Ovis aries: one gene and its partners. The protein of the gene in region 2 purifies or fractionates together with the protein of the main gene of each other region. This does not show direct contact. Links are inferred from orthologs where the notes say so. Each region holds a gene or a part of one and is shown on either strand. Other genes may lie near its edges.

The links.
Region 1: the proteins of ESR2 (region 2) and SURF6 purify together in Homo sapiens (affinity purification with mass spectrometry; 3 studies listed by BioGRID and IntAct, with this or other methods). This does not show direct contact. The link is inferred for Ovis aries from reciprocal best matches to the Homo sapiens genes ESR2 and SURF6.
Region 3: the proteins of ESR2 (region 2) and SRRM2 purify together in Homo sapiens (affinity purification with mass spectrometry; 3 studies listed by BioGRID and IntAct, with this or other methods). This does not show direct contact. The link is inferred for Ovis aries from reciprocal best matches to the Homo sapiens genes ESR2 and SRRM2.

What each region holds. Positions count from the first base shown.
Region 1 is NC_056056.1:2,705,267-2,708,914, reverse strand, and holds part of SURF6 (surfeit locus protein 6), read right to left. Parts: intron 2,884-3,648; coding exon 2,692-2,883; intron 2,089-2,691; coding exon 2,000-2,088; intron 1,096-1,999; coding exon 892-1,095; intron 777-891; coding exon 297-776; 3' UTR 1-296. UniProt on the Homo sapiens protein: Binds to both DNA and RNA in vitro, with a stronger binding capacity for RNA. May represent a nucleolar constitutive protein involved in ribosomal biosynthesis or assembly.
Region 2 is NC_056060.1:74,529,874-74,533,621, reverse strand, and holds the start of ESR2 (estrogen receptor beta), read left to right. Parts: upstream 1-1,112; coding exon 1,113-1,465; intron 1,466-3,038; coding exon 3,039-3,211; intron 3,212-3,748.
Region 3 is NC_056077.1:2,799,307-2,802,954, forward strand, and holds part of SRRM2 (serine/arginine repetitive matrix protein 2), read right to left. Parts: intron 3,617-3,648; coding exon of another isoform or gene 3,574-3,616; exon of another isoform or gene 3,349-3,573; intron 3,049-3,348; coding exon 2,859-3,048; intron 1,690-2,858; coding exon 1-1,689. UniProt on the Homo sapiens protein: Required for pre-mRNA splicing as component of the spliceosome. As a component of the minor spliceosome, involved in the splicing of U12-type introns in pre-mRNAs.

The DNA of each region.
Region 1 (3,648 bases), on a different chromosome or scaffold from region 2:
AGGCCATTCCCTTCCTGCTGCTGTGACAATGAGAGGAAGAGGCGGCCAGCAAAGCCCTCCCTAGGAGCCCGCTCCCTCCTCACAGCCCCCTGGTCCACCACCCCACAAGCTGCAGGGAGCCTCTGGTCTAATAAGAGGAGGCTGGAGCTGGGTCTGGGTCAGCCCCTTCCCCGGATGTGAAGGCTCTTCTGCACGGGGGTGCCTGAGCCTCAGACAAACCGGTGAGGGGCACGAGGCAGAGTCCACTTTCCACCGGAGCCTGCACCGCTCGGGACGGGGGTCGGGCAGCCGGGGCCTCAGGCCAGGCCGGCGCGCTCCAGGTCTTGGGGCAGGATGCGGCCCTTCTTGCGAGCCTTCTCCAGGCGGCGCTCGGCCTTGGCCGCCTTCTTCTTGCGCAGGTTCTGCCGCCGCCGGTCCTGCCGCTGCTGCATCTTGCCCACCACGTGCGCCGTGCGCTTCTCCCAGGCGCGCTGGCGCTGCGCGCGCCTCTTCTCCTTGCGCTTCAGGGCCTCCTGCAGCCGGCGTTCGTCGTCGCGGATCCGCACGCCCTCGGCCTTGTACAGCAGGTTGGTCCAGCGCATCTTGGCCTCGAGCTCCTGGGCCTGCCCCGCGTCCCGGTCCCGCAGCTCCTCCAGCCGGGCCTGACGCGCCTGCAGGCGCTCCAGCAGCTGCCGGTAGTTCTTGCCCGTCAGCGGTGTCAGGTTCCCCTTCAGCTTCTGCCTCTTCTCCTTCCGGCGCTGGGCCTTGCTGGCTGGCTCCTCCTCAGTCACCTCCACCTCGGGGGAGAGGGCGACGCGAGCTGAGGGCCGCTCCCCGCCCGCCCAGGGGCCCACTTCTGCCCACCTGACGGCAGCACAGGGCGCGCACACAGCCCAGCGGCACGGCGCTCACCTTGTTGAAGAGCAGCCCCGGCTGGGCCTGCGTCTCCTCCCCGGGCACCGGCGGGTCCGGCTCGGTGGCCTCCGCCCCCTCCAGTGCCTTGGCTGACTTCTCCTTTGCTCTCAGCTCCTTCCGTTTCCTCTTTTTCCGGTCGCGCTCCTGCTTCCTCCGGCGTCTTTTCTCCAAAACAGCGGCGGACAGCTCTTTGGCGCTGCCCTGTGGGGTGATCCCGCGCTCACTCATAAGGTTCTTATAACAGGGCCCCCAGCTTAGCACGTGCAGTCAGGTCAGGACAAGGGCCAGCGGGGTGCGGCGTTCCTCCCCGAGATGACCTGGCCCCAGAGTGCGCCCGAGACAAGGAGGAGGGGACCCTGTGAGAACCACAGCTTCCAGATTCCAGGCGCAGACCACATGCCAGGGCACCTCCCAAAAGGGGCCACTAAGTCCATCCGATGACCCAACAAGGGGCACCTCATCCTCCATCCAGTCAGACGGGGTAAGGGCAGGGGGCTTGGGGCACCGCCACCACCAAATCGGGAGGTTCGGTCAGGACAAGGCAGTGTTGCCTGTGCAGACCCCGGCGCTACTCTGAGCCCCGCCCGGCAGACAAGAGTGCTCTGGACCACCGCAGGAAGGCAGGGCCCTCGGGCCTGTCCCCCACGGCAGAGGCCTGGGGAGGTCCCCAGGGAAAGGAGGGGAGGCGACCCCACTCAGCACTCCGCACTGAGGCTGGTTCACGTCCTGGAGCGTCGGTCCCGAGGCGGTCCCCTCGGGCAGGTCACCTCATCTCAGGCCCTGGCTCACCTCAGGGCCGTCAGGACAATCAGAAGAACGATCGCCCAGGAAGTGCTGCTGAGAGGAGCCCGAGCCTCTCAAAGGCCGCAGCAGAGAAGAGCCAGCAGCTCAACGTGGGGGCTTAGCCTGCAGTGCCCCTCAGATGACACGAACGGCACCCGACCTCCTGCAGAACAGAGGTGCCAAGACCCTCCTGCCAGGCCTGTGACGGCCGGCAGAGCAGGGAGCCGACCTCCGAGAGCACCGGGGTGTCTCCTCCTCCAGGTGGGGTGGGGAAAGCCCTGCAGCTCCCGAGACCCCTGCCCGCCCCCCACCCCACACCTACCTGGCCCCGCGCCTCCTGAATCTTCTCATGCAGGCGCTGTCGCAGAACATCCAAGGCAAATAAAGAGTCAGACTCTGCGGCCAGGCCACCTGCAAAGAAGGATCAGAAATCCAGAAGGAGAACCCCTCCCGACCTTTCTGTGCCACCCCCACCCCCCCGGTGCCGGATTCAAAGCCTGAGCCTCCGTGTGCGCCCCCCACCCCCACTCCTGTCCAGTGGCCACTGGTGGACCTGCAGAGCAGTTCTAGTGAACTCTTCACCTCTTCAAGCTGGATTGGCCTGCGGGGTAGGGCTTGCTTGTGCAACACGGGCCAAACCCATCTCTGGATTCTTCCAACTTGTGCGGCACCCACCCACACCCAGAGGCAGCTCTCACGACATCACTTCAGAGACTTGAGGGCAGTGAAGCTCGGCGTGCCAGGCCTCTCAGGATCTCAGAGGACACGGCCATGACCCTCCCCGTCCCGGTTACTATATGACCTGGGACGTCTGTGCCCTTCCTGAGCTTCCCATCCACCCAGAGACCCTGCGATCTGTCCTCTGCAAAGCCTCACACCATCCCAGTGTACCTGATCGTGCTGTTATGACCGGAGAGGGCCACATACACACCTATCCCAGATCCCAGGGGGCCCTGCCTGCCTGCCCAGCCCCCTCACCCGCGGGGGCCCTGCCTGCCTGCCCGGCCCCCTCACCCGCCGGGGCCCTGGTGGAGCTGGCGGCTCCCTCCTCCTCCTCAGCCGCCTCTGGCTTCCTGGCCTCAGACTTCGCAGAGGCCTGGGCCCTGGGCTTTGCAGTCTTCTCCTCCCGCTCCCGGGGTTTCTTCTGTGCTTTCCTCCTCTTCTTCCTGGGGGGTGCAGCAGCATCTGAGACTTGAGTTTTGCCAGCTGAAACAAGAAACAAGAAAGGGCTACCACTTCAATCCCTGTGACCCAGTCAGTAGGTAAGAAGGTCCTGCAAAGGTTTTGATTCCAGAAGGATGCCAGAAGCCAGTTGAGATGGGAGTTGTGGGGCCCTTCATGTGAGCTCAGAACCACACACCTCCTGGAAAGCAGACTGGTCACACTCATCAATCCCTGAAGAGTGTAACACGCTGACCCAGCGGTCTACTTGTGAAATTCATTCCCAGTGTGCAGATAAATCTGGCCTCAAAGATATTCATCATAGCATCCTTTTTTTGAGTGAAAAACTAGGAAAACCTAAATATCCATCCACAGGGACAATGATGGCACGTCCCACAACAAATTATATAGCCCCAAACGGGGTATATTGTTTTGGGCTTCCCAGGTGGAGCTAGTAAAGAATCCACTTGCTAAAGAGATGTGGGTTCGATTCCTGTGTCAGCAAGATGCGCTGGAGGAGGAAACGGCAACCTGCTCCAGTACTCTCGCCTGGAGAAGTCCATGGGCAGGGGGGCCTGGCGCGCTCTAGTACACGGGGTCCGCAACGAGCGGGACACAACTGGCGACTGAAGACACGCGAACACGCTTTCACGCTAACAGGTGGAAAGGGAATTCTCCGACAGTCCAGGCAAAATGGTTGTCTGAGGAGGCCTTACAAATAGTTGAGAGAAGAAGAGAAGCAAAATGCAAAGGAGAAAAGGAAAGATATACCCACTTGAACGCAGAGTTCCAAAGAACAGCAAAGATAGC
Region 2 (3,748 bases):
TTTCCCAGACAAAAGTGGTCTGGAGTTGCAGGTGGGGAGCAGGCAGTCAGCATTTGGTGGTGTGGGCATGCCCTGGAAATCCAGTTGCCTGCCAGAGCGGAAGGCCTTCAGAGCATGCAGGTGCTGGTGATGAAGCTTGCACAAGGGACAAATTCTCTAACTCCTCAGGCCGTAGTCTGAATAGGTCATTGCAGAAAGGTTCTTGCCATGCCAGGGCTGCATGTTTGCAGTGGGATCTCGTTCTGGTCGCACAGGCTCCACTGGCTGTTCTCACCCACCATGTCAGCCTCTGCCCCTGCCAGAAATCACAGCGGCCTCTTCCTCCTGCAGTCCCTGCAGCGCCCTCTACTGAGAAAGCTTAGCACTGGGCTCAGTTTAAATGCTTAAAGGAATTCTATTTCCATAGAACATACACTACATATATTGAAGAGTGCATTAGAAGGTGAGAGGCAATAAATTGATCCTTGACAGGTGCATTGGCCTATGTATTCCTTTTTTTTATCATTGGCTATTCATGATATATTTGAAGATCTGTTAATGCTAGTCATGCTTACTGATCTACCCTTTGAGGTAGGTTTTTAAAATTTTTCTGTAAGAATTTAAAAATGAATTTATCTACTTCTAGGGGGAAAAAAACTGGTTGGCATTTTTACTTAATCGTATATTTTTTAAGTTTGTTTGTTTTTTCTCCAGAGATTGAACCCAGGCCACAGCACTGAGAGCCCAAAGTCATAACCACTAGGCTAGCAGGGAACTCCCTGTGTTTTTTAATTTTTAAAAGTATTTTATATTAAATTCTCATGGTAGAAAATTCTTATAGTTAACAACAAAAGCTTTATGGAAGTGAATGAAGGGAGAGAATGAATTCCATGCCTTTTATTCCTACCCCTCTGAGGTTGTGTGTATATTTTTCAGGATGTATTTCTGGGTCCATATAAGTGTGTGTGTGTAATAAAAATGTGTCAACCTTTTTCACAGTATGCTTGTACCTGTAACTTAGAAATGTCTTTTCTTTTTTCTTTACAGCCATACCTGTCCATGACTCTGAGAACATTATAATGTTCTTTTGTGCTTCTCACAAGGGGTTTTCCTAGCTGTTACCTACTCAAGACATGGATGTCAAAAACTCACCATCTAGCCTTAACTCTCCTGTCTCCTATAACTGCGGTCAATCCATTCTACCCCTGGAGCCAGGCCCCATATATTTACCCTCTTCCTATGTAGAGAGCCGCCATGAATACTCAGCCGTGACATTCTATAGCCCTGCTGTGATGAATTACAGTATTCCCAATAACTCAGAAGATGGGCCTGGTCGACAGACCACAAGCCCAAATGTATTGTGGCCAACTCCTGGACACCTCTCTCCTTTAGCCATCCATTGCCAGTCGTCACTTCTGTATGCAGAACCTCAAAAGAGTCCTTGGTGTGAAACCAGATCATTAGAACACACCTTCCCTGTGAACAGGTAAATCCAGTCTTCATTCTGAATTATATTATGGCCGATATTCAGATTGCTTTATGACTTAGTGAGAAGAAAGATATGTGTTATACAAGGTCTTCATTATCACATAGAGCACCTAGAACATCTGATGTTCTGAATTCTAGGATATCTATTCTGATATTCTAGTCCTTACTAAAAAGTTGAGCTTTTAGATCTGTGTTGTGGGGGAGAATTCACTTCATGACTATCTTTGGAAAATATTTAATTTAAATCACTTTCTTCTTGATGAAGTGATTTGAGTTTGAAAAAGGAATTTTTATTTTCAAGTTAGAGCCTTCCTATCTTGAAGTGAAATCACAACTTAGTGTTCATGACAAATTATGTCCAAGATAAAAGTAACCATTGGTATTACAACTCGATGAAATGCTAGACAGGTGAAAAGACAAACAGTGGTACAAATTTTTAAACAGTGAACTAAATAACATTTTATAAAGATTGACAGGAAACTAATGTGGACTTTAGTTGAACATTCTGAAACTCTAAGTGCAAGGTAACATCAGGGATTATTTGCATTCAATTTGTTATACGTACACACACGTATATATTTTGTGCTATGTGGCTGTGGGATCTTACTTCCCCAACCAGGGATTGAACTCGGATAGTTTTAATGATAATCATGGCTACAGAGGGCAGAGTTAGTATAGGCAGAAGCATGAGGGGGCATAACTTTACACAAGAACCCAAGTACTAAGTTATGGCATATTTGGTATTGAAGTTTATTACTTTCAAATTCATAAAACTTTGAGAAAGCCATATTACACACTAATTTTATTTTTCTTCTTTTTTAAAGAACTTTTTGATTGGTAAAAGAGAATATGAAAAATGTAGATGACTTTTTAAAAGTAATGTCTTCACATTCAACTTTTAAAGGAAGAAATATCTTATTTCTGAGGACAAGTTCTAATCAGAGCTCTGCTAATATTTGGGTACATTAAACCTCAGCATATTAAATTTATACATCAATCATACCTCTGCCATGTCCTTTCCAAAGGAAACATGCTGTAGCAAAATTAGGAACTAGCCCGGTGTGTTCTTGGTGTCTGCCGGTGGCCCACTGTGGGTTCCCCCTTCCTCTGTGGTAAGCCTCTCCACCCTGCATTGAACACCTGCTTTCTTCAGAGCCTTCTCAAGGGACAGGCATGTGTTTATGCTCTCCCCCTCTCCTCTTCTCTTCTCCTTCGCTTTCCCCTTTTCGCTACTGCTCCCACCCAGACTTGATGTAGTCACTGATTACAGAGATGTACACATTGATGGCTATAGCTAGTTCTCCATGGTAATCGGTGTTCATCCACACTGTGTGGATGGGTGTAAACTCACCTATCCACTTTCAGACACCAGCGATCCCAACAGAGCGACTCTTAATAGATCTGATATCAGTAACAAAGGTTTTGCTTGATCAGATCTCTTGGAATATATTTGTTATGAAGCCTGGAGGGCAAAGAGATACACGAGGCAATGTTCATGCTGTTCCTTTTTCTAGAAAGGCCTTGTTTTACCGTCAATGTTCTTTTACAGTGAATGTTCTCTTTGCCCCTAGGGAGACATTGAAAAGGAAAGCTAGTGGGAGCAGTTGTGCCAGCCCTGTTTCTAGTCCGAGTTCAAAGAGGGATGCCCACTTCTGTGCTGTCTGCAGCGATTATGCGTCGGGATATCACTATGGAGTCTGGTCATGTGAAGGATGTAAGGCCTTTTTTAAAAGAAGCATTCAAGGTACAAGAATGTTGTTAGCTGCTTTTTTTGTTTTCCACTTTGCTTTTAAACAATGTTGCGGATGACCTGGCAGAAATTTTACCTTTGTTTGGCCTGCTTGGTACACAGAGTACTTGGTGACTGTTTCAGAGGATCATGTGTCTTTGGGGGTGGGGGGATTGTTTCAAGTATAGAGTACTTTATCTTTCACTCAGATCTCTACCCCCAAACCCAAATGGATCTTGCACCACCATCACCTGTTGCCGTCTTCCTAGGAGGAAACATAACCTTTGTGAAGGCTGGAAAAAATGTGTGCCCATTAGGAACTGTGAAGATTGTTTCTTCCTTTGACTTATGTTTAATATCTAGCATATGTAACAGTTGAGATGGTGGGCTGGCTCCTGAGGAAGAGAGAATATGTTTTATGCAGTCAGTAGCTCAACTAGTGGAACCTCCTTTACATTCCTATTTTCTGGTCTGAGTTTAGACTGTTTCCCTTTCCTTCTCCAAATTTCTGCTAGGCTGGCTTTTTGTTTCTGTGATTTTGTTAAATCATCT
Region 3 (3,648 bases), on a different chromosome or scaffold from region 2:
CCGTCTTGGAGGTGTGCCAGATTTCACCCTAGAAGGAGAAGACCCAGAGCAACTGTGTCTTGAAGGGGTCCTAGACTTCACCTCAGGGTCAGGTGATGATTCAGAACGGCTCCGTCTCTGTGGCGTTGCAGACTCTTCATTTACCTGGGGACTTGTTACGGACCCTTGCCTTGGTGGTGTTCCAGACTTTGCTTTAGGTTGAGGAGATGAACTGGAATGACTTTGCCTTGATGGTGTTTTAGATTTCTGATTACCAGGCGGAGAAGAACCAGAGCGACTTCGTCTCAGTGGCGTTCTAGATTTAGCTTTGCGTTGGGATGATCCAGAACGACTGCGCCTTGGTGGTGTCTGAGACTTTTGTTTTGGGCATGGAGAGGACTCTGAAAGGCTTCGCCTCACAGACAAACGGGATTTTGCTTTGGACCTTGGTGAAGAGAGAGACCTGCTCCGCCTAGAAGAAAGCCGCGATTTCTTCATTTCTGGACTTGAGTTGGACCTGCTCCTTCTCTGGGATGTGCGGGATTTGTTCTTCCGCTCTGATGATGAGCCAGACCTGCCCCTTCTTTGTGGTGTTCTAGAGTGAGATCTTCCCCGTCTAACTAGGCTTCTACTACGGGATCTTCCCCGTCTTGCTGGTGTCCTAGACTGAGATCTCCCTCTCCTGTTTGGGGTTCTAGAGCGTGACCGGCCACTTCGTCTAGTTGGTGTTCTAGAGCGTGACCGCCCACTTCGTCTTGCTGGTGTTCTAGAGCGTGAGCGCCCACGCCTGGCTGGGGTTCTGGAACGTGACCTGCCACTTCTCCTGGCTGGTGATCTACTACGAGACCTCCGTCGTACAGGTGATCGGGTCCTAGATCTGCGCCTTGCAGGTGTTCTAGACCGAGACCTGCCTCTCCGGGCAGGTGTTCTAGATCGTGACCTCCGCCTGGCAGGTGTTCTAGATCGTGACCTCCGCCTCGCGGGTGTTCTAGACCGAGACCTGCCTCTCCGGGCAGGTGTTCTAGAACGAGATCTACCCCTAGTTGCAGGGGATCTAGAGTGTGACCTGCCTCGTCTTGCTGATCTAGACCTGCCTCTTCTCTGTGTATTTCTGCTCCTGGACCAGCCTGGTCGCTGAGGAGACCTAGAGCGGCCACGTCGCTGGGGGCTTCTAGATCGTCCCCACCTCTGTGCAGAACGTGACCTACGCCACTGAGGTGACCGGGACCGAGAATGACCTCTCTTGGTAGGGGTTCGAGACCGAGACCGCCCCCTCTTATTGGTGGTAGGACTACGGGACCTCCCCACCCTACGGGAAGGAGTATGAGAATGTGACTTAGCCCGTTTTGCTCGGCCATGAGAGCGACTCTTGGATGCAGGAGAGGAACTCTCTCGGCGGGACCCAGGAGCTGGTGCCGGTTTAGGGCTTTCAGGGGAAGAGCTGGCATGCCGAGAAACTTTGGTAGGTTGAGGGGATGGTGGGCAGCTCTCTGAAGAAGATTGGGGAGGTTTCTCAGGAGACTTAGGTGGTGAATGACCCTGGGCTGGAGAAGCCTCAGAAGGGGGGTTCACTGGCTCCTGACTTAAGGGGGTTGTTGCAAGGGGTTGTGGGGAGCCGCCATGTTGCTCAGCAAGGAGCAGAGTGGGAGCCGGTGGTTCTGGCCCTGTGTTGCTCCTTTCCGGAGAGGGACTAGGTCGAACTGCAGATTTCTAAGAGTGGAAAAGAGGGTAGGGGTAGGGATAATGTAAGCACCAAAACTTCCTATCATCTGTAAGGTCTCAACACCCCTTCCAATGAAATACCTTTTCCTCACCACAGGCAGTCACGTTCATTCAATAATCACACAGTACAAAATACAGTTAAAAACATATGAAAATAGAGTCTATAATAATCTCAAATCTTCTAATCTAGAAAAAACAATGCAATCTAATGTACTATTAGTTCACAACAACCACTGTAACATGCTGAATGCAGAAGAGTATTTTTAAATGTAAAGATAAAGCAGTTTCCCAAAGTGACTGACTTCACCCTTAAAAAATAACCACATTAAAAGGAAAAAAAACTGAAAACATGGCATGTGAACAACAAAAACTAGGATAAAGTATAGGAAAACACAGAAAAAGAGACCAAGTTATAAAAACCTTAAAACATAAGCCAAGAGAAATAGGAAGTAAATTATGTTTCTGAGGTGATCGAACTTGCAGTTTGGAAAATCAACTCTGGAGAACATGAAAAATAACAGGAGAGCTACAACTTTATCAAAGAGCAATTAAAAATATATTGTGATGATAGAAATAAGAAAACATGATTAGGGTCTGAATTAGAATAGCAAGTATAAACAGAGAAGGAAATGGCAACCCACTCCAGTGTTCGTGCCTGGAGAATCCCAGGGACGGCGGAGCCTGGTGGGCTGCTGCCTATGGGGTTGCACAGAGTCGAGAGTCAGACACAACTGAAGCGACTCAGCAGCAGCAAGTATAAAAGAAAAGGTATGGAAAAGATTTCCGAAAGTAGTTTTCAGACTGCAAGCAGCAACTCAGCAGACTGAGAAGTTTTAGTAAGCCACAACCAGCATTTAATGAAATAAATACTAGATACACAGAATAGTAAATGGCTAGTAAGTGTAAAGAAAATTTTTTGTTCCAAGTTTTATCTTACATTTACAAACAGAACAGTAAGGTAAAACCTATTTATTATTATCTAGTGAAGTTTGAAAATCACAATTCTAAATGATTTGCAGATGCAAAAAAGAACTTTATGAATACCAAGAGACAAATCAGAAACCAAAACTTGATCTTACTTTTTCCTTAACTTTGAACAGCTATCCTGAATCCACAGCCTTGCAACCCCAAGAACATCCATTAATTCAGGAACATACCTCCTTCTTGTCTTTGTCTTCACTGGGACTGCTAGGCTGCTTTGTAGAAGGCTCCGGACTAGGCTGCCCTATGCTGGTAGTACCTGGTTCCCTGGGAGGTACATCTCCCTCCCCTCGATGCCCCAAAGCAGGTGAAGGACTTTGTCCAGCCAAGGCAGTTGTATGGGTTTTAGCTGCAGCACTTCGAGACCTGAGAGAGGTAATTAAGGACGGGAAGAGAGAAAGAAAATCAGTTCAGGAGAGAACAGAAAACCCCCTCCCCAGCTCCCATCTACCTTTCCTGACTATAACCCTCCTCCAAAAAACCTTCTCTCACTCACAAGATTCAAATTACTCATACTGAAATTCAGGTCCAGTTCATTTTGCTCCTTCTCTTCTCAACATCAATCCCCCAAAAATATTCTCCCTCTACCCCTTCATATTTACCTCCCCCAAACCTCCCAGAACCCTCCACCCAGTCCATTCCCTACCCGCTTCATTCACAACTCACCTCTGAGCCCACCTCCTTCAGGAAGCCTTCCCCGATTAAGGAAGCCAGGGTAAGGATTCCTTCCTCCCCCAGACACCACGAACAACCACCACCCCCCCTATTCTGGCAGTCCATATATATCAGAACAAAACAAAAAACAAAATAAATAAAATAAACAAAAACAAAAAAAAAAGAGAAGGGGAAATGTATATGTCTGTCCATCCTGTTGCTTTAGCCTGTCAGCTCCTAGAGGGCAGGGACCGTGTCTTCCGAATGGTCTGTGCAGCGCCTAGCACACCGTGGGCGCTCAATAAATATTAA